Linked DNA regions of Oreochromis niloticus. The protein of the gene in region 3 purifies or fractionates together with the protein of the main gene of each other region. This does not show direct contact. Links are inferred from orthologs where the notes say so. Each region holds a gene or a part of one and is shown on either strand. Other genes may lie near its edges.

Region 1 (7,753 bases), on a different chromosome or scaffold from region 3:
CAACACCTCTTTGTGCCTCTTTTTGAGAGTTAATGCAAATTTCAACACTCTGAATCAACATCTTTTATTGTCTTAGTTTGTCATGAAATAACAAAGGAACAGGCTTCCCTTAGCCAAGACATGGCTTCCAAGTTAATTGTCCAATCACTTTTGAGCCTCTAAAACTGTGCATGATGCTGCATTCCAGATACCTCTGAATCCAGATGTCGGAACTTGGAAATTAGGGCGTTCCAGAAGAAGTGAGGAAAAAGAGGATTTGTTTTGGCTCTTCGCAAGGTAGAGATATTCAGGAATCACTAGCATGCACCTATGGTATCAATTTGAAAATCCTAGATGACTTCATTCTGAAAATCTTGTGAATGCAATGATTAAAGAAAACTTGACCTCTGGCCTTGACCTTGAGGTTGAGGTCACTGAGATTCAAGCTTGTCTAAGATTTTTAGTAGATGGACTCATGGTATCAATTAGAAAACCCTACGTTGCCTTGTTCTCAAGTTATTGTTTTCATAAACTTGGGTGTCCACGCCACCCGCCTGGCAATGACAATTCCCATCAGCCTTTTACAGCTGAGGGGTAAAAATGGCTGTAACTCCTAGAAAGCTAGCGCGGTTCTTTTTTTAAAGTGCTCGAATTAAAGCTGAAAGTCTGCACCAGAACCACATCTTGATGATTGTTTTAAAATTTCACCGTGGAAGTGTACAGAGGCGAGAACACGAAAATAAAAATTACTCCAAATACTTACTGAACAACACATACTGCATGTTGATGCATGTGATGTTATTTGTCTTATTTAGCGCGCAACATTTGCCCTTATATATTTTTTTAACATCTTTATCTGTTGCTTAACACTTGTGACTCATGCTTCAGTGCTACAGTGTTGCATTAGAGTTTGTCTGAGAGATTTCAAGGACATAACCAGCGCACGTGCTGTCCGCCGCAAACCACAACTCCATCACCTGATGTGGGTGGGATACACAACTGGGCCTGACGCTTTTCAGTTTGAAAACAGAAAAAAATGACCAGAGTTTACCACAAGGAGGAAGAGGTGCAAAAAACCCCAACATAGACTAAAGAAGCAAACAGGAAAAGTACAGGCGATGGCAATTTATTGTTCTAACAACTGGTTTCATTTCATTTCAAAGAAGTGCTTGTTCTGCCGTCTCCACAGCAGGGCAAAAATGAAATTACCAGCAACAGCAAAAAATATGAGCTGGAACAGTCCACATTAGTGGTACTTTGTCTCTTTTTTTTTGAGCTACAACAAGCCAACCTTCATGGTTAAAACAAAAACGAGTATCAAAAACTGATTTTCCTTAAATAGCCACTTGAGGTAATTCGATAAAGAGTCGCCATTGTGGCTTATACTGACCAGGATAAGCCACAATGGAGGGATGTCTCAGGGATCACAAGTAGCTGCCTCCGATGGCTGCGAGTGTGATGCAAATTCGAACTGATGGTGATATCAGAGGAGAGGTGCAGGGGGCCAAAACACTAAAAGGTGAGGAGTTTGCAAAGAAAAATCTGGGACTCTCGGCCATTTGACCTTAGAACTGAAGAAGCTTCTCGGATGAGAGGTGAAACATCTTCAAGCAACTCAAAGAAGTCCAGACGCTTTTCTTTGCAAACTCCTTTGACTACGATGACCTGGATGACTGAGAACCTTCACAGACACTAAAAGGTGAGGCTTCAAAATAACATCACAATCCCTGGCTCCATCATCTGTATACAGTTTCTGAGCCCTACATCTAAACCTTTTCTCCCACCTCTAACTGCTCTAGTATTTCTTTTCACTGTTCCACTTTGACAGCTGTGAATGTTCTCTAATGCTCAAATATAAGTCTGTGCCTTTGTCGTTTTTTCTGTAAAACTTAAGTTATATTTAAGTAGAAAAGACTGGCAGAGGTCTTCCTCCCCACCATCGCCAAATGCTACTTATACAATGTAAAACTTTAAAAGTGTATTTCATTCTAAGAAAACTTAAGATTTTTCAAGCCACCTGAACTCAATGAAGTACACCAACATAACAGAGCTCTACCTAATTTTTAGTCAAATAAACCCCACACAACCTTAGTTAAGAGAGGTTACAGTAAAACAGAAACATTCTGGATTTTTTGAGAAACCTCAAACTGTTCCTAATCACATTTCATTATGTGTCAGAACACAGGCATTTCAGTTTCTGTCACATTCCTGTGCTCCGTATTTACTCAATATTAACCAAGTGCACTTACAGATAACGTCTACCAGAGACTTCCTCAAAACAGACACCGGTGAATGTATCTATATTTAGACTAACTCTAGTCAAAATGTGACCTGATATTGGAAGAAAACTGTACCTGATTTAATCTCAGCTGACACTCACGCTAAAATAATATTTTATTAATATTATTATATATTTTAAAACTCTGTGGAAATAGATGGGACAGGTAAGCCCTGTACCTGAGGGCAGACCGAGAAGGATGAATCACAGCTGAGGCTCTCACAGCTTGTTTAATTCTTATTTTCTGTAGTGATTTCATACGACAGCGGTTAAAGTTGAAAGTTGTTACATCGAATAAACACGCTAGAGTTTATTTTGATGAAACACCCAATTAACGGTGGGCTCCACCGTCCCTCCTACCCCACGCTGCTGGCCTTTAGCTCTCAGTCAATGTTCGGGTTCTGACTCACCAAAGCGGGTCCAGTCCTGGTTTGACAGCCCGTCCATGATGCGGCAGAACTCACAGTCAACGGAGGCGGGCAGGTTGAAGTACAATACGGCCCTCGGGTCTCTTCCCGACATCTTTACCTAACTCCTTCTACAAGTTAATCCACGCTGAAGCTAACAGGCTAACCGATGACAGCGACCACTGCGAGGAACTCTGGGCGGTCTGTAGGGTATCAGGTTCACACAAGGACCTGGATCACTGGGTCACATCAGAACCGCCCGGAACGAATCTATTCAACCACTTCAAAAACTCTCTCAAACTACAGGTTTGAGTCTTCCAGCGCTTCCGCCTGAAATAAGCTAGCTGCTTCCGCTCCGTGCTACCAAAATAAAAGCCCGAGTAAATGAACCGTTTTAAAACTTTTTTCTTCACTTTTCACTTCTTTTTTTTTAAACAAATGTTTTACCTCGTGAGCCCCATACACCCCCATTTGATCAGAAGTGGACCAAACCAGTGAAATTTCCCTTTCTGACAGTTTAAATCAGTTTAATTACACATTTAATCCTCGAGATGTCTTAATAGGAATAGGAATAGGAAAAGAAGACAGGACGGACAGAAAAAAGCACATCTCAGTTTTTCTACATGACAAAGAAAAGCTGTCGTGGCAAATGAAAAAAATCTGTCAGCATGACTCTGGGTTTAAATTGTAAGACATAAAGTTATAAAATTACTGGAAAAAAAAGTTTGGGTAGTTTATTGACTATCCTGAAATAATATAGAAAGCTTTTGTTAATTCGCAGAAAATGACACTTTAAATTGTGCATCCTTTATAACAAACAGACATTTCTGTAGCAGTAAAAACAGGAACGTTTCTTATCACTCCCTGATTAGTTTGGTTTAGCATTAATGACCATGGGAGAGGTCTTTATCTGTGGAAAATAAAGCTGTAAAACATAGAAAAATGCAGCTAAAAGTAAATGTATTCCTTCACATTTTCAAAAGCTGTCCAGTGGGGCCAGATTGGAGTCTTTGCTTGGCCGAATTTCCAATTTATTTATATTGTTTATATGTATTATTTTTATTTATGAAGCACAGTCAAAATTCAAAAATAATTTAAATTCATTGTTTGGGGGGGTTAATGATAATTACTCAAGCATAAAATGTACTTTTCATTATTAAATCACCAAAAATAACCAGAAAATCCAAGTATTACTCTTCTCTATACCATGATTTGTATCAGTGTATTACATCAGACCGGTCGTTCTTACATGCAAAGTGTCAGCTTCTCCACTGTAACCGTTTCCTGGTTAAATATAATTTCCTGCATGACAAACTCCAGATTGTTGTTGTTGGTTTTTAACTATCAGTCGGAAAATAGGATATTATTAGAACTAGAGCTGCTTGATTTCAATCACAGTTATTTTGGTCAGTGCTGAGATTGCTGTGATGGAATCCAAATACTAACAGTTTTGAAAACATGTAGATGTATTACAGTTATAAAATGTCCTTTTCACATTGCAATTAATGTTAATTAATGTTAATGCAATTAATGTTTCCTGCAATGCATTGAGCTATGTCACCTGAAAGAGACACTTTATTGTAATATATTAAGAGATTTCATCATATTTTAACTTATTTTATATTAATTTTTATGCTTACAACATTTTATACTTGTTTTACATCCTGCAGGACTGATGTCTGTAAAGACCTCGTTTGTGTATCTACATATGACTTTCATCTCATTACAGGAAGTCCTAAGTGAGTATTTCCTCGTGGCTTTGACTAAAATGAGTCATTTTCCTGTCTTAACTATGACAAATGTGAAGCATTGCATTGCATTACATCACACACACACATACACACACACACACACACACACACACACACGTTTCACACTTCCTTTTTCTCACCTTATTTATTTGAATGTAAGTGGTTGAATGAAACGCCTGAATGCTTCATTAGCTCAGTTCAGTTTGTTTGTATCAAAGGATTAACAACAGCAAACTGTTATTATTAATACCACATACAGCTAGAATAACAGCATGAAGTAGAACCGTGTAAACCGAAGGACTGAGTCACGTCTCGGCGAAAAACAGAGAAGCTCGGTAGTTTTGCTGACCTCAGTGGAGATATTTGAAAAAATTCCAAGTTTAAGAATCTGGTTTTGTCATCAGATTAATAATCCGTCAGGTATGAGACTGCATGAAGATCACTGGGACTCACGGTCACCCTGTGCAGCTGGGCTCTCATATCTGAGGCTTTTGCTTGATTGTTTTTTAAAGATACTTTCTATAAACTACTCAACCTAAAGGATATTGAGACAAATTCTAAAAATTAGCACAAATTAATTTTTGTGGGTCCCCTCCAATGCTGAGGTCCTGCTCTACTACATAATTGTCATTTCAGTCCACTGCTGCCTCACTGCAGGAAGGTCGTGGGTTTGAATTCAGTCTGGGGCTTTTCTGTGTGGAGTTTGCTTGTCCTCCCCATGTATGTACGGGTTCTCTGCGGGTGCTCCGGCTTCCTCCCACAGCCCAAAGACATGCATTGAGTTAGGTTAACTGGTGATTCTAAACTGACTGTGTGATCGTGAGCATGAACGGTTGTCTGGCTCTCTGAGTTACCTCTTTGACAGATTGGTAAAAAAGACTAAAAAATGTGCCACCATTACGCCACCCACTGTTGAAAGCCAAACAGATTGTTTTTGCCAACTTAGTGTTTTGAAACTGGACATGACGTGTGAGGCGTGGATATGACTGTGAAAGTGAGCACACCACGGGGTCATTAGTCAGTGACAATACCCTGGATTTTCCTCCTTTCTGACTCTGATATTGTCCATGTTAAAGACAATTGGCCAAAAATGCAATGTTCATAATTACCACCAGGGGGCGACTCAAGTGGAAGCACATGGTGAAAAAAATGTCCCTAAGATTCCCCGCTCTGTGACCTCAGTGAATGGTTTCATTGACTTTATGGGCTTGACCACTAGTTTCATGTTATACTACATAAAATGGATGACGTTGCACAGTTGGCTTGCCCACGAAAAACGCTCATTGGCTCCCCTGTGGTCATCCTGTACGGGTGCCACGGTAGTTTTAGCCCACAGGGCCCCCATGACGGTTTTCTGTGGGTCAACCCATAGTGTGTTTGCCCACAGAAAACCCACAGACGGACCCCAACAGGCAAAACTGTTGTTTATCCAGTGTAGGCCCGCACAGGCAAGAAGTAAAAGATATCAGAGAATATCCAATTTTCAATATATTCAAGTCAGCTTATTTGTTTGATAGGATTTGAGTTTATTGTTGTTGGGTTTTTTCACCCCTTTGAGGGGAAGCGGATCCACACTGTAGTGGTTTACATTCATTCATACATACAGTCACTGTTGGTGCACTGTAGAATTTTGCTGTCCTTGAAAGCTCTTCATCCTGCAGCTACATCACTTTGGCTGAAAGATGTTAAGTGTTTTTTTTTATAAAAACTGGAAAAAAATCAAATTCACACTCAGAGGGAACGCCTGTAAGTTTTTACAGATGTGGCAGTCTTTTATTATTTACTTTAATTCCTTGAAAACAACTGGACTTGCCTAATTTTAAGTATCTTATTGGGTCGGACCTTGGGATGGGGATTGGTTATAAGTTGTTTAGTAGTTTCCAAAACAGCTTCACAATTGTTAATGGCTGGAACTGTACTGATTTATACCTTTATATCACTTGTTTTTGTCGACGCTGATAGGTCAAACTACATGTGAATGAAGTGGAATTTATGGCTCAGCAGAGGGAATGCGTTCACAGGCCGCTGGCAGCTCGGGGATGGCCCGTCTACCTACAGCACACTCTGTTGTAGATAGAGGAAGCATACAAAATATGTGGTACAGCTGGCCTGTGGGTCACTTTCACTCTTTGTTGGTCCGTCAGCTGTTGTTGGTCCGTCAGCTGTTGTTGGTCCGTCAGCCAGCCCAGGAAAAGGGCAAAGTTACAAAGAGCTGAAATGAAATCCACTTTTAAAAATAATAAAAAGTGTCTGCAGTGGACACTTTTTATTATTTTTGCTTTATTTTTGAGCTTCAGTGTTTGCTTTGTGCGTCTCCAGTTCCTGGTGAACTCCGCTGTTGCTCTCTTCCCTGTTCCAGCCCACTTATCAACCAATCAGGATTTGGCAGACCCACCACCTACGGATAGTGGAGATTTTGGAGGACTGCACAGAAGCACATCTGTGGTGAGTGAAAACCCCTCTCAGTTCAAACGGAAATGTGTATGCAGACTGACACAATTCCAGGACATAAATTACACTTAAGGAAGCGGCTAAAATTTGATTTGTTTTATATTCATTGAAAAATTAAGAGTCACGCTCCATACCAGTTGCTGGTGGTAATGTGCCCTGGATTGTGGTGGCCGGGTAGTCAGCCCACAGGGTCTCAATCTAAAATGTGGGACACACCTGGGTCCACACCGAGGGTATGCTGCAGACCCACAGTGGGGTCCAGGTGTGCCCTCATTTTATGCTAGTACTTGCTACAGTGGGCTGCCAGTAATGGACTGTGTGGGTCTACCCACAGTGCGGCCAGATTGTGGGGGCATTGTGTTTGTGTTTTGCTCTTCTGCAGGTAATCTGGTTTTAATATGTGCTAAACAAGCCTCCAAAAAACTTTTACTCTTAACAAGTTTCACTTCATTTTTAAATAAAGGGTTAAGATGGGTCACTGTGACAGCAACAGGGTATTCAAGACAGTCTTTTCCCCAGCAAGTTTTCCAGTTACTCTAGAGTCATTCCAAGACAATCGTTGGCCCAGATAAGACATATATCATCTCCACAGTGTGTCCCCTGGGTTCTACTTCCAGCCCATGTCTGACAGGCATCCTCATCAGATCCCCAAACCATCTCTGCTGGCTCCTTTCAACTTTAAGGTAGCAGCTCTACTCCAAGCTCCCACCAGATGTCATCTCTAAGGCTAAGGCCCAGACACTCAAATGAAATCAAATCAAATTTTTATTGTCACACGACATGTGCTGGTTCACCAGTACAGCACATACAAGTGAAATTCTTGTGTGCAAGCTTCACAAGCAACAGAGGTATGCAAAATACAAATAACATAAGAACAAAGCAAAATA
Region 2 (7,065 bases), on a different chromosome or scaffold from region 3:
TTAATACTGCGAAGTATTATGTAAGGCTACTTGTTGACAGACCTTGGAGATTATGTCAGTTATTATGTTACAAGTGGGATTGAATGGGATTAAAGTCAGAAAACATAAATTGCTGCAAAGAAAATGATGCGCTTCACAAACTGTTCAAAACTTCACAATATCCATATAAAGGCAAACTGACCAGCCTGAAGTTGTTCCACGTCTTTTTAAATCTTTTCACTTGGCTACAAGTGTCCAGTCTTTCATTTTGGCATCACTTTGTGGAGAAACACTATTACATTTCCATCTCCTCCTCCCCAGAGTTGTGGGCCACAGAGAAACTGTACAGAGGAGAGTGTGTGTCTGCTGGTGGACTTGAGGGGTTAAGGGGACTGTGAGGACTGGGAGATGGACATGGAGTTGGAGTCTGCCGACACGCGGTCTGTTGTTTGCGCTGTTTTTGTAATGAGTCCTTAAGTCTCTGACTGAAGGGATCTTCTGGTGGCCGCCATAGCACCAGCTCCATACAGGAACGGCTCCTAAAGTGTGAGAAAGACGAAGGTGACACAAATATTAGCATCCCTAAAGAAGTCCAACTGCTCTGACTCTTAATCAAGAAACTCTTGCCAGTTGAAAACAATATTTGCAGTCCGTCTCACATCATTACTAATGTTTTTTCTTTTTTTCCTTCTTATGTTGTAAATTTCCCGGTACAGTCTCTTATTTCTTGCTTTTTATTTTATATTCTTTTGTGTGAATCTGCATGCTCCATCTGCCTGTCGCTTTGCTGCTAGAACACCTGAATTTCCCTAATGAGGGACAATAAAGTATATCCATTTCTATTCATTACTTAAAAATCACCATTAAATGTTCCAATAACAAAATAAAGAGAACATACACAGACTGTGCTACTGTGTGGGGGAGGATGTCACTGATGCCCTGCTGCAGACCCTTCTTCAAACTGTCAGACATCACCAGCACCGGGCGTCTCGGAGCTGGCTCTACATCCAGATCTTCATCCTCATCGTCCTCCAGTGTTATTCTGTGATACATCAATAGTACATTGTGGGTTGTCACTCTTTCTTGTGATGTAACCCCCAAAACCTTCACCAACACTGAATGCCAGATAAAAAACCCCACTTTGAATGATATAAATGGAAATGTTGAAGGGTGAAGGGTCTGAAGGGTGGTCTGTCGGCCTGACATATACATTGTATGCACATTATAAACAGAGGCCTGTGCTTACAGAGGTACGTTCAGGATTGACCTCGAATACTCAGACTTCAGAACTTTTTACTGGGTTACATCACTATGGTTACTTATTCTACACACCAAAACCTGCTTCGGGGCCTGTACAACATACCCAGGATTATGTCTCCATTACCTGGTTTCACTTAACCCATCATTCGCAATCAGGATAAGCAAGCATATGAAACAAAATCTCTAAGCTAACCCAATGTTTCCCCTGCATGTTTACATGAAAGGGCTTGGCAACATCTAACCAATCACAAATGTGGGTTGGTGAACTGGCAATAGAATCAACTCGTTTTACAAAGGAAGATAAAACTATTATGCAGAGGTTAAAGACAATACACAACATAACACAGCTGCTGTGAACAAATGACCAGTTGTGTTTTGTTCTGTTTTTTTTCTCCCAAATGTTATACATTGCATACCTGTCTTCTATCTCCTGAAGTTTTCTCTGTGCGGCCTCGATCTCCATGCAGGAGCTCTCTGTCTCAAGTCGGAACAGGGAAGAAGAGGTCTGCGGCAAAGTGGTGTTTTTAGATGTTGTGCAGGACTGTGGAGCCGCAGGGCAGGCTTGCTGTGCAGACGGAGGAGAGCAGCTGTTTGCGCCAGACCAGTCACACTCTGTGCTAGTGCTCAAATTTGAAGGAGCAACTTCTGCCTCAAACATTAACCTCCTCTTTTTGGCACTGCATCCCCTGATAAAACAATCATATAGTTTAACACTTATGTAGGGCTAAGACAAGCATTACCAAATGCTTGTATTCTTCTTCTTTTTTTTAAAAAATTCATATCTCACTTACTCATCATCTGCTCTCCTCCTGTGCTTCCTGAGGCATCTAGTCTCCCAGTTGCTGTGGAATAGAGGCACAGGAAATGCCTGTGTCAGGCTCAGAAATAAAAGTATATTTCAAATTAAGCCAAAGCGTGTCTGACAAATGTGGTGAAAAACAAAAAAAACAAAACAAAAAAAACAAATAGTGCACAGTGCAACAGTTACATACCTGTTAGAGACTGTCGCTGTCTGTACATCCTCAATCATACTTGAAGGTCCGAGGTCGAAGTCGGGAAGGCTTGTGGGGCCTGAAAAGGAATACATGGCTGGCAGGCAGCTCAGCTCACTGCTTGAGGGCGCAGGGTGATGCATGCTGGCCCAATCGATTAAATGTTTTTGAAGAGCTACGCGGGTAAGCAGCTATTAACGACTTTGATCTGGAAGATCAGTAGTGATACCAGTCAGTTAAGCTGATAAAGGTTTTTTTTTTTAATTTAATTTTTTTTTTACAAACTACATGACGCACATGTTATTTGTTTACATCGCGCTAGCTGCCTCCTATTTAGCTAGCTATAATGCTACTGCCGTTAGCATGTTAATGATAAAACTGTGTTATTAATAGATGAGAGGTAAGCACACGACAGCCTCATCCCTGCACTGAACAGCCACTCTGCACAAGTTAAGCAAAAATATGTGGCGTTAAAGAGCGAGTTGTGCAGCTGCCCTGCCCCATTGCCGTTTTTGTTGTTGACAAATGTGTTTAGTTAGCTCGCCTCCGTTTAGAGCTTATTTATTCTCCTTTAGAGAGTTCCCATTTGTACACAAAAACAGTTTTTACAAGCTAAAGTCGTACTAACCTAATCGCGTGATACCCCGGTCGAATAGAAAAAGATCCAAAATTAACTGTCACCGTGCTCTGTGGATTTCTACGATAGGCTGGGTCAAACTGACGTTAGCTCCTTATTCTGAATACTGAGTCGCGCCAGAACAGTCGTCAGGGTTCTAGAAAGTGCGCATGTTACGTTTAGTGGGATTGTGGGAAATGTAGTTCCAGTGGATGTACTACAAAGTGTAGTTTCCGAAAAAGAAAAAAACAAGACCAAACAAAAAACAAAACAAAAAAAAAACGTTGTCGTGGAAATGTAAAAGTGATCTCTAGTGACAAGATGGTGTTGGCATTTTATTTTTTAATATTAGAGATTTTTTTTCTTAATTTCCTGTCAGCTGACGTTTAAAAGGACCCTCTCGCGTTATGATTGCAAATGACCAGTCATGTGACAGTGAAACACTAGAAGCTGTTGTCCCAGCTCGTCTCGTCACTCGGCTGTGATTCCTCACTTTGGACGATCCGTGGAGGTAACACGCTGCTGTTTATAGGATATGGCAAAACAACACTTTGATTTTATAATCATGTGATACTTATTGTCTGCAGTGATGCTGGCACACAATCCATGTCACTATAAATCAGTTATTTTTATATTTATTGTCTATTACTTGTATATTCCTTCCTCAAAGTTCCTTGCATTTTTATCACCCGCAATGACTGTATATCTGTTTTACTTTTACTGTTTTTGTTTTTAACTTGAACTGTTTAGCCGAGTTGATTCATTTTCTGTGTGTCTGTGTGCCTTCTTTTTGTATGTTTTAACCAGCAGGTTATCCAGAATGATAACTTTGTTGATAATCTCAGCACTGATTGGTATTGGTTTTGCCTCTACCATACCATGTGGTAAGTAGGCCGACTTTAAAAAGACGTTTTTACAAATTAATTAAACAAGAAAAGAAAACTTAACTATACTAAACTTTTTAAAGCTGCATTAACTCTGAGGCAACGCAGTTTGCAAATACACTTACTGACGAGTCTGGACATTCACAGATGTTGCAATTGCGTATTTAATGAATGTGAGTGATGCATCGTGTTGCTTGTTTACTTAGTTGTGCAGGATTAACACGGAATGTGGCTCCTCTCTGGCCTTGATCTGCTGCGGGTGTTGAACGCAGTAGTGATGATTCTGTAACTTAGTGCATATGGTGTTTGTCACAACTGCTGATGCAGCAGCTGTGATTTTGCAACACTCTCAAAAGTTCATGTAAATGTCAACAGCAGCAGAGCAGAGATACTTATATAGGTTTCGTTTGTGTCAGGTGACTTTTTTTTTTTTTTTAACCTATAAAGTTAAATTTCAGATACAGATGGCTCCAACACTGAGCTGCTGCTTTCACTCAACAAGAATCTCCTTCGCTCTCTGGAGAGCCAGGAGGGACTTCCTAACCCCAGTATCCACTTGGCATTACGCCTTTCCAAAAAACACAACCTCGCCAAGGAGAGCGAATACCTCAACAGACTAAAAAATGAATTGCACAATGACATTCAAAGGTACACACACACACACACACACACACACACTTATGCAAACTTAAACACTTTCTATGAAGTCCCCTTTCTCCCCAATGTTCTCTACTGAGCCTTTTTTCCTCCTCTCAGCTCTCTCTCTAACAGTCAGCCTGTGACTGGTGTGCTGGCGCTCTACAGCCTGGCTTTAAAGTCCTCCTGCTATGATCTCAACACGGTCAGCTTCACTGTGAACGAGAGGAGTCAAACACTGCTGACACACCTGAAGAACCAGATGGAGCTGGAGAAAGAGCACTGTAAGGTTTTTTTTGTTTGTTTGTTTTTTAGTTTTTGAAGGGCAATGGTTGTCATAAAATTTTTCAGCAATCCTCTCATTTTTGATGTGCTACAGTATCTGACCAGAGTTTACCTAATGTAGAGGACGGGGGTCATATTTCATGGTTTATGAATTTAGCAGGGATAGAGTAACTTTCTGTCTAATTTCATCCAGAGTGAAATGCCTCATAATTTCTCAAACATTGCTGTGAAGTTGTGGTTCAGTGTAATGTGGTTTCATTTGCATTTCTCTCCTTCATTCAGTCACCCACCGCCCTTTGACCAACTATTACCAGTACTCCCTGGGTGTGCTCGCTCTCTGTGTGAGCGGCATCAGGGTCAACAACCATGTGACCAACAAGCTCATCAAAGCAGCAGAACATGAGCAGTTCACACATGGAGAGTCTGAGAGTGTGGGTAGGTGAAACATGCCTTAATGGTGTCTTTAGCTGTTAAAATAAAGGTGAAATAATGATGCAGGAGTCACCCTGCTATTACCTACTAACAATCATGGGTTTAGAATAAATTAGTTCACCGCTGATGACATGATGGAGTATATTCACTGCCGTGTTACATTTCAGATCAAAATCCATTGAGTTTGAAGCTGAGGCCACCTGATGGATATTTAACAGGAAGCTCTACATACAGTTTAGCTTTCAGTTCTTTGTCTATGCCACAGTTTGCTCTGGCGAAGCGGTTACCTCTTGTACTGCTAGCTTAGCTCTCACTAAACATCTACATTAGTATGCTGTGAAAATGTTAAAAGCTTTTCACTTTGTATTTTAGCTTTGAATACAGCTGTAATGATGCAGTCGTGCTAATATTTTATCCAATTTCTCTCCTCAGATACGTATGCCATGGCTGGAATGGCACTCCAGTGTGTGAAGGACACTGGTTCTCACATGCAGAACGCTGCTGGGCTGAACACGGCTCTTAGCAAGATCAAGGGGAAGCTTCTAGCCTCCCGCAGGACTGATGGTCATATTGGCAATGAATTCAGCACAGGCCTTGCAGTTCAAGTAAGGATCCTTCCCCTCTCTCTCTCTCTTCAGAGACTTCTACAGAGCAATATCTTTGCAGCTGAAGTGTGTTTATTTGATGTGTTCAAGGCCCTGTTAGCAATGGGCAGTGAGGTTGCAGAGTGTGCCGCCTCAATGGAGGCCATGAGGACAGCTGCTAGAAGCAACACATACCACAACCCCATGGCCATCTCTCAGACTCTGCCTGCTCTCCAGCAAACATCCTACGTGGCAGTTAAAAGCAAGGAGTGCCTAACTGAGGATAGTATGTGCAGCATCATTTCTACCCTCTTTGGCCACTTTGGGTTGTGTCTGTTGCCACTAACATTGTTATGTGTGTATCTTTCCTGCAGACACTCTGGTGCTTGAGCCCTTGGATCCTACAGTGGTTCCACCAAACCAGGTCAAGGTGAATGTGATGGTGGAAGTGGTGACATCCAGCGGAGCGGCAGCACGTTACCCGGTGGATGTACCAAAGGGCAGCTCCCTGCTAGAGGCTCTTGAACTGCTCAAGGAGGAAAATCGTGGCTTCACGTGAGTTCATGCCATTGCATTTTACCTTGGGTATGACTGGCTGCAGTGAGTAGTCTCTGACGATGCTGTATGGCAGGTTTGAGAAGGAGTCCAGCCTGTGGGGACCTTTCTTAAGTGTGGTGAATGGAGAGCAGGCCAGGCAAAGTGACCGCAGATACTGGCACCTCTCCTCAGATGGCACTGCACTCACTGAGGGTGAGTAGAGACGCGCACACACACCCATGCAAACACACATTAGAATGTGATGCACAAACGAGGATTTCGTTGATCTGCTTTCACTGTGTCTCTGTCAGGTGTTGGCGATTTCAAGATTGAGGTGGCTCAAAGGATCACCATCAGAAACACGAGCTACTGATGTTCCAGCCAATCAGTGACTAGATGATCAGCACTTTTAATCTTTATGAACTAATGATTAGACCTAAATTGTCTCTTGGCATCATATATCAATAAATCCCACAGTTACTTAACAGAATGTTTGCATTTTAAGTAGATATGAAGATCGAACAAAAGTGTAATTAAGAGCTATTTCAACAAGGTTTGTGTTGAGTAGTTTTACTTTGGAAAACGTTTTTATGATTATAATACAATTACTATGACATGTCAATTAAAATGACTTGTGATTGTGCTCTGTTGAAGACTTTTTAAGGACAATTTGTATGCTTTTTATATTGTTACAAACGGTATAAGTCAGTGACGGTTGATTTGAATAATTGAATTTATTTTTTTTTATTTTTTTGGATGGCTTTTCAAAAGTATGTAGTTTGAATTAAAAAAAATAAAAAAATAAAAATGCAGAATAAAAAAAAATTTAAAAAAATGTAGTGCCTGTTTAGCGCCAAGCT
Region 3 (7,797 bases):
GATTTTTTTCACAAATATTCAAACTGTTATGGGATTAAATTCACTAGCTTTTCTCTTTCTGTAACTTGTAGTATTTACCCACAGTCTGATTAAAAACACTCCAAACTCAAGCGGACTGTCTCCTTCATTCTGAAAACCTAAGCTCAAAAAATGCATTTTCACTTCAGTGATGCTGTCAGCAGCCATCACAAAATCCTCTACCCACACAGAAACAAAAGGTGACTCACACACTTTTGACATAATTATGCGTCGTTTCTGTGCAGCTCAAAACAAAAACACAATCCAGTCTTTACCTGCAAGCTTGGCCTCAATGTTCTGCAGCCCATCCTTTAGTTGCTGATTACTTGGCTCCTGTCTGAGTCCCTCTTGGTAAGTTACTCTAGCATCCTCCAATCGGCCAAGAAATTCCAATGCAGCAGCTTTACGGGAGTAACCCTGGTTGATCACATTTGAAATATTTTAGACCGTCTCCTCAATTTTAATAACTATATATTCTGTCAACAAATCAAAGGCATAAAAAAGGACATCTCACCTTCCCCCAATCAGGCTTGATCTTGATAGTCTGACAGGCATCCTGGAGAGCATTCTCATAGTTGCCTTTCTTGGCATAGGCAGCTGAGCGGTTACTGAACAGGACATGGTTGGATGGGTCAACACTCAAGGCTTCGGTGTAGCAACGTATGGCCTCATCGACATTTCCAGCACTCAGTGCCTTGTTTCCTTGGTCTTTCAATGCTGAAGCCTATGAAGCACAGACAGACAGACATGTTTACAAAACCTCTGTTTTGCAGCTCTGCTGCTCTAAATACACAAAGACACAATCCTGACTGGAGAAAAATCCTTCACAGCTGCTACTGGCAGAAGTGAAAAAGGAATTGACAATCATTCAGCTGTTAGTGTCAAACAGGTGCAGGAGTCTTGCAGAGAGAAAATGTTTTTATTTTGTTACCGCATTGACCTGAAAATAAGCCCTGCCTCACAGCAAGCTCAAAGGTGACCCCACTTTTGTGTCAGTTACAGATAATGATTTTTTTTCTTTTAAACTAAAACAGAGGTTAGATAGCTAGACGTATATTACTCTAAAAGTTTTCTCTGCAGGAAGTTAGAGTGAATACAACAGCAAACCATACTGACAATGCTAAAGAAAAAAAGAAAAAAAAAGGTTGTCAATATACTGTACACCCTTTGTCAATTAAAGCTGCTTGTTACAGTTTGTGAAGTAATCGCGCTGTGCCTCCTCTGAATCTAACAGAATCAATGACACGCCAAGAAGAAAGAAGCACCACGCTGCTCCAAAAAGGTTTTCTCACTCCCTGCTGGCTCCTCTTGAAAACTGTCTGATAAAACTCAGTCCACTAACAACTAGCCACGATAAAAAACTTTCAAGTGTTATGTGGCACAACTTTCTTCTTAGCAGTCATTAGACCTAATCCAGTCTGAAACAACATAGCTACATCACAATCCCCTGCAGTGCTATAGGGTTTAGTCAAAAAAAAAAAGTGAATATTCAGTAAATATTATGGAGCTTAAAGGAAGGGATAGCTGATTATATCACCAAGGTCCAGTTGTTGACCAAATGCTTCACTTGGATACATTGTGTGAAGCATTAAGTAATCACAGTCTAGTCATTTTAGTACTTAGGGTGTAAACAATGTGCATATAGTTGTAATAATCCACATATAATCTTTACTAAGTCGGTCCAAAATGAAAATGAAACCTGTAGATGTGTTGCACCATGGTGAATGCTGATCAAGAACCTTGAGGCATACATCAAGTCTTACTTTCACAATGTGTCAAATCCTTAATGTAATATTTCTTAGTTTGGCGTTATCCAGAAAATACAAAAAGGTAATAAAAATTAAACTCATGGACAAATTCCTCGCAACATCAGCACATTTCTAACTAGGCAGTGCCCTCTTTTGACTTCTAACGTGCACCACACTTATTGATTTTATGCTGGACAAATAGGTTACCGAGTCTGAGCGCAACAGTAGTTTTTAAGTAATAAAAATAGCTCAGATATGAAATCCATTCATATCTGTGAATGCAGCTGTTATGCGGAACGTTCGAGAGGACGCAGCAGTTGACGACAACATGCGGCTGTAGCCATGACAGCTTCGCCTGTGTGTGCATCTAGAATGATCCTCCGGTGTGAGTGCAGACTGCCGATGGCACCGCTGAAGCTAATCCAAAAATACTCCTGCAGCATGTGCTTACAGACCGACTGCTGCAAAAGCTCACAGTCGTCTGCTTTCGTTTTATAAAGGGGTCACAAAGGTTTTGTTTGTTTGTTTCTTAATAAAATCAAGACTCTCTGTTTTTCTTATCCTGACATACTGATAAAAATTCACGTTGTGAGCCAAAGATAGCGTTTGACTGAGATTTGGTAACTTGTATATTGCCCATGTTTGCAGAAGGCTAAAAGGCTGGTTTACAACACCGAGCCTACACTGTCCACTGGCAACAGCGGCAGGCAAACCTTACAGGGATAATTTTACGTAAAAAGCAAGTGTGACAAATTAAGTTGCTGCACGCTAGCTTAACAGTTAGCTAACCTTGTCGTGTGCTATCATAAGTGAGACACAACCTTGCGCGAATAAACATTCAAGTTAACTTGCACTTTTTGAAATATGAAGTTAAGCAACATTGCAGTTTAGTGCTGTCAAAATGTTCTGTGACGGGTGAAAACGGCAAGCCCAAATGACTACAACACCTTACTAACGAGATTACGCTAAGCTAACAAGCTAACTAGCAAACAGTGAGCGGTCAGGATAAAGAGCTGACTAACCTCTCCGACCTCCAAATTATTGTAAATAAATTTTTTCCCAAAGAACTCAAAGGAATACACAAATATGTCTTAAATATGATAGTTAGAAAGTTTTAATTATTAAATAAGTAGCAGGACACTCACTTTCTCCATGGTGCAAGCATGAGGTTCCTTTCCAGAAACTACTGTGAACTAGCGCCTCCCACTCAACAACATGCAGGTTGCCAGTTTAGGAGGTAGAAAATCCGTAATCAGCTTCCAGATGAGCGTTTCACCCGTGAGGGGAATCTGAGCAATAATATATAGCACAGTAGCTGAAACTTCCAGAAGATGAGCGAAAACCCGGTGCTACGTTACACAAGATGTGTTACTGGCTCTCTGAGCAGCACAGAGATGAGGAAGAGGTTGGAAGTGAGGGCATAAACATATTAACCCCGAAAATATTATTTAGACCAGCAACTTATTCAAAGCCGGTGATGTTTGTATCTATTTATTTTTGGCACACTAAAACAGATAAACACGACATGCAGACAATGTCCAAGACAAAATCTCAGGGTTACTCACCCACAGTTGCACTAGACTATAAGTTAATGAGTCTGCTGTTTAGTGATTAGGTTGGACTGTGTGAGATTCCTGTTTCCAAGAAGAAGAAGAAAGCTGGGGTGCTATGGAAAAGGTCAAGAAAAAATGTGCATGCAATCAACATGACTACAGTGAAGCTGGGATTTGTTATGTTGTAATTGCCTCATCTTTTAACATTCTATTTGGGAACAGAAGAGTCCAGTTGCTGTAGTCCTGAAAGCAAAATGCTAAACTTATTCTACATAAAGGATTTCATGTTCTTTACACTTTGGGGCCTGCTCCCCCCCCCCTTTTAGTATTTTTATGTTTTCAGTGCCTGACAGGCCTGTGTGGGGGAGTTCTTTATCAGCTGGACAAGGTGTAAAATTTTTGAAACACACAGTTTTAAAAGCTCAAAATTTATGGCACACCCATTGCTGGGCCAAAACTGGTCCCCTTGGCTTTATGTTTGACATTCCTGCTACTGATGAAATCTCTTTTGCCATTTTACTCTTAAATTGTTTAACTATTTGGACCAGTGGACTTTTGCAGGGAAATAAACCATCCCAATTTTTATTCAGAAAGACTCTGCCTATAGAGAGTTGTTATAGCTGATTATGCCATTAGCACTGTCACTGTCTCTATGGAATCCCAGAAAAAATCCTAATAATTTCAGCAGCTCTGCCGAAATGATTAGGTATTTTTTTCTCACCTGGAAGTCTCAGCTTCACAAATTATCTGTTCATCAAAGAGTTTCTCAATGGATCAAGAGGACGTGGAAGACATTCTGAATAGACCATCAGTGCTGCTGTTGCTATGGATTCACAAAGCTAGAAAAGTCAAAACATAGAAGCCAAGATCAAAAGGTGGCCTTCGAACTCAGCACATTGAGCCTCAGGCACTACACAAAACCAAGAGCAGAGATGGCACTGCTGTAAACCTTTGCCCACGTCTTTTCTTATGCACTCAACCAAACATGGCCTCATTTTCATTTGATTTTCATCTCCTGAAGCACCACCAGGACTGATCGCATCCACATTTCACCATGGCAGAGACTTTAGTAAATGAGGTGACGCTTATAACACACATTTTTGTACATTCTAGTTCTTTGGATTTGGGTAAGGATGAGAAATCCATGTTTTCCTGTGGTAAACAGCACACTAAGAGAAATGAATGACAGCTGTGTGTGGAAGTAGGTTTAAAAAGTAACATAGGAAGCCCGCTGGCTGTTAGTTTGCTCTTTGTCTCACTCCCCCATCTACTGGAAGACAGGGGTAAACAGATTGCTGTTATCACACAAATACACACACATCCTACTGTTTCTGTCTCCGCTTGTGTGAAATGCTAATCATGTTATAATCTGCATGTTTATTTCCCTTCACAGAGTCGTGACTTGCTTTATATTCCACTGCAGTCATGCTCTGCACACCCGGATTCAGTCATATTCATCTTTTGTTGTAAGGATAATAATGTTGCAACTATTGTGATCTTAACAACATGAATGTAAAATTTCACTTTGCTTAAAGGACAAAACACCTGCAGTCATCATATTTCTGTTATAGTTTCCTAACGAATGTGCAGTAATGTAATTTATGTCTGTAGAAGTAATATAAGTTGGTTAAATAAAGGCCAGCCTGACAGCCTAAGGTCAGACTGACTTTTATCTAGCTCAAATTAAACTTTGATTTCTATTTATTGTTAATGATTGACAAGAATTATAGTGCATAAATGTGAACTTTTGAAGCTTCTGAAGCGAAACATAACAGAAAAAGTTTGCTTTTTAATCATTGCTGCAAATGTTCTAATTTATCATTATATTATTATTTATAATTATGGGTATAATAACACATAACATGTGCATCAGGCGACGGTCAAACAATAACAATTAAAATATCACCTGCTTTTATTAGAATTATTTTTAACCTGGAATTTTAAAATTATGTCATGTGCAGTTGTGGTCGGAAGATACACTCATGAATGTGATAATAGTTTTGCACGTTTAATGATTTCTTTGAACTGTTTTTCCAGAGTGGAATTATTGCACTACATACATCTTTAATGACTTTAAATTTAATTAATTTAACAAATTCTACCAATTATCCCAAGAATTATGGTTAAAAATTCAGCCAGAATTATGACAGATGCTTGATGACAGCTATCAAACGTTTCACCCATATTGGGGTGGGTGTATTCTTGTATTTGAGCCTGTATGTATACATTTGACCCAGTGTGTATTAGAAAAAAATCCCAAATAAATTAGAACTTAAAACTTTTTAAAGTCATTAAAAGAGAGATGCTGGAAAAAGAACAGTTCAAAGAAATGATTAAAAACCACAAATTACCATGACATTCATGACCTTTCCTGATTGCATTTAAAATTCTGACCACAGCTACTGTATGTATAATCATTTTGAATACAATATTGCCAAAAAGGACCGCAGTGCTTAACACAAGAAATATTCCCGGTTTAAGGAGGGATACAAATCCCTGGGAGGGTTGCATCGGAAATGACATTCGGTGTAAATGAAATATGTGGATCCATCCACTGTGGCGACCTCTTGTGTATAAGAGAACAGCCAAAAGCAGATGATCAAAAAACATCACAAACAAAAGGTAATAGCTCACAAAAAATATAGATGTCACGGTAATTATTTTTTGACCAGCCGTTATTTCGAGGCTGCGTTTACAAAGTCCAAGCTTGCTTATAGACCGTGAAGGCATCACCTGTCACCGCGAAGTTTTGGCGCTTTCAGAGGTGCTGAATTTTAACTTCCGTTGTCTTAGTTTTTTGTAATACTTTGTCAAGTTTTCACCAACAACGACCTGGTCATTTATGTAAGATGTTCACAGAAAATGGGTTGGTTCTGTAAAAGCACGACACTTTGAACTTTCAGGCAGTAACTGTATGACATGTCTAAAAATTACAGCTAGCTTATTAGCTAGTGAGCCAGAGCAAGATAAATTAGCTTAGCTTACTACTTTCCAAGTTAGTTAACCTCCAGCACTACACAGAAAACCAAGCGTATAGTCTTTTTCTTTTACCTTTGTTTTCCCTGCTAAAAAAGTCCTGCCAGTTAAATAAACTGCAAACTAAGCAAGTACAATGAAGAGACAGGAAAACCAGGCGGCCAGGCCTACATCAGGTTGGTAAAAAAATAAATAACTTCACAGTCTGCACACCAGTGTATTCATCTCCACCTCATAGTCATTGATTTCTTTGACTCCAGCCAGGTTGTGTGATAGAGCCTTTGTGTGTGGATAAATGTGGCAAGCTGTGGAGTTTATTTGTACATGAGGAGTTAAATAGGTTAAATAATGAACAGTCAGTGAGTATGTGGTGTCATTAAGCATCATGTTGCGCTGTGGTTCGTTCACTGGTCTTTCCTCTGCCGTTTTCTCCAGGCTGCCTCTCTGTGCCGCTCTTTAACCAGAAGAAACGAAACAGGGTTCCTTTGACCGCTCTTCCCTCTGAGAATGAATTCTTTTCTCACAGCGAGTACACACCAAACACCGGCTCAGCCATATCTCACAACCCAGCAGGTGAACTGTTCATTTTCTAAGCTTCTGCTTTATTTCTGACACTAGATGTCAGTGTATCCACAGAAAAATTAAACATACTTTTAGGTATGCTTGACTTTACATGTTTTTAGAATATTGGTTAGCATTGTAAAGTCATTTATATAACCCGTCACATCTACAGACAGAAGTTGTTGTTTGTTGTGATAGTTTACCTGTGAGAATTGACCTTTTCTTTAGGTGCCTTTGGGTGTTACCAGGCCTCAGGTTCCCCTTCTGGTGTCCCTCAAAGCCAACAGTGGAACAGACAAAGCAACTCACAGGCTGCTCCAGCCCAGCAGTATGGCAGCAACAGACCTGCCCCTGGACCTACCCCTTCAACTAGAGCCTATGGACCCATACCTCATCCATACAAAGCTAAAGAGAAAAGGTGTCTTTAACTGATCATTGGTTACACTGTAGCTTCTCTCTTTTCTTATAGCTCATGTATGTAAACTGCTAAAATATACCCACATGGTATTTAACTTGATGAATTGGTCTGTGATAATGACATGTGGAAAAGTTTTCATAACCATGGATATTATCATTGCACTTCAAAGTTCTTGTTTAAGCTGTGGCACTTAAATTAGTGCCTAGTTGACAGAGACCAAAGAAATTCAGATGTTATCTTTTTAAAAGTTTAAAGCATGTCACAGGACTACTGTTTGTTGAATGCTGGGCTTTCATTTCAGCTCAGTGATGAGACAACCCAGCAACGCACTGGGACAGCAGGATTCCAGCTCTGTCATCAATTTCAGACAGAGCAAATATCAAGGCCCTCGCGGCAGCGAGAGTGGACAAAGCCAGCCAGTGCCCCATACAGGGTTATCTCAGATGGGTCGGAAGTCATCTTATGGAACATCCAGTTCCCCGCATCAGTATTCCCAGCAGTCTAGAGCTCTTCCTCCTCCAGT

What was found.
Region 1: the proteins of stip1 (region 3) and irak1 purify together in Homo sapiens (affinity purification with mass spectrometry; 3 studies listed by BioGRID and IntAct, with this or other methods). This does not show direct contact. The link is inferred for Oreochromis niloticus from reciprocal best matches to the Homo sapiens genes STIP1 and IRAK1.
Region 2: the proteins of stip1 (region 3) and ccdc117 purify together in Homo sapiens (affinity purification with mass spectrometry; 5 studies listed by BioGRID and IntAct, counting the BioPlex papers as one, with this or other methods). This does not show direct contact. The link is inferred for Oreochromis niloticus from reciprocal best matches to the Homo sapiens genes STIP1 and CCDC117.

What each region holds. Positions count from the first base shown.
Region 1 is NC_031984.2:5,048,833-5,056,585, reverse strand, and holds the start of irak1 (interleukin-1 receptor-associated kinase 1), read right to left. Parts: upstream 3,021-7,753; 5' UTR 2,780-3,020; coding exon 2,668-2,779; intron 1-2,667.
Region 2 is NC_031977.2:18,803,412-18,810,476, forward strand, and holds the start of ccdc117 (coiled-coil domain-containing protein 117), read right to left. Parts: upstream 3,012-7,065; 5' UTR 2,860-3,011; intron 2,440-2,859; 5' UTR 2,375-2,439; coding exon 2,232-2,374; intron 2,082-2,231; coding exon 2,031-2,081; intron 1,926-2,030; coding exon 1,656-1,925; intron 1,022-1,655; coding exon 878-1,021; intron 519-877; coding exon 275-518; 3' UTR 1-274. Other genes in the region: tcn2 (transcobalamin-2), read left to right, coding at 3,668-3,731, 4,190-4,379, 4,488-4,651, 4,935-5,087, 5,517-5,689, 5,780-5,954, 6,043-6,223, 6,300-6,418 and 1 more. UniProt on the Homo sapiens protein: Facilitates DNA repair, cell cycle progression, and cell proliferation through its interaction with CIAO2B.
Region 3 is NC_031975.2:9,398,113-9,405,909, forward strand, and holds the start of stip1 (stress-induced-phosphoprotein 1), read right to left. Parts: upstream 3,065-7,797; 5' UTR 2,921-3,064; coding exon 2,912-2,920; intron 743-2,911; coding exon 533-742; intron 436-532; coding exon 294-435; intron 1-293. Other genes in the region: spata22 (spermatogenesis-associated protein 22), read left to right, coding at 5,836-5,941, 6,731-6,868, 7,085-7,274, 7,576-7,797. UniProt on the Homo sapiens protein: Acts as a co-chaperone for HSP90AA1. Mediates the association of the molecular chaperones HSPA8/HSC70 and HSP90.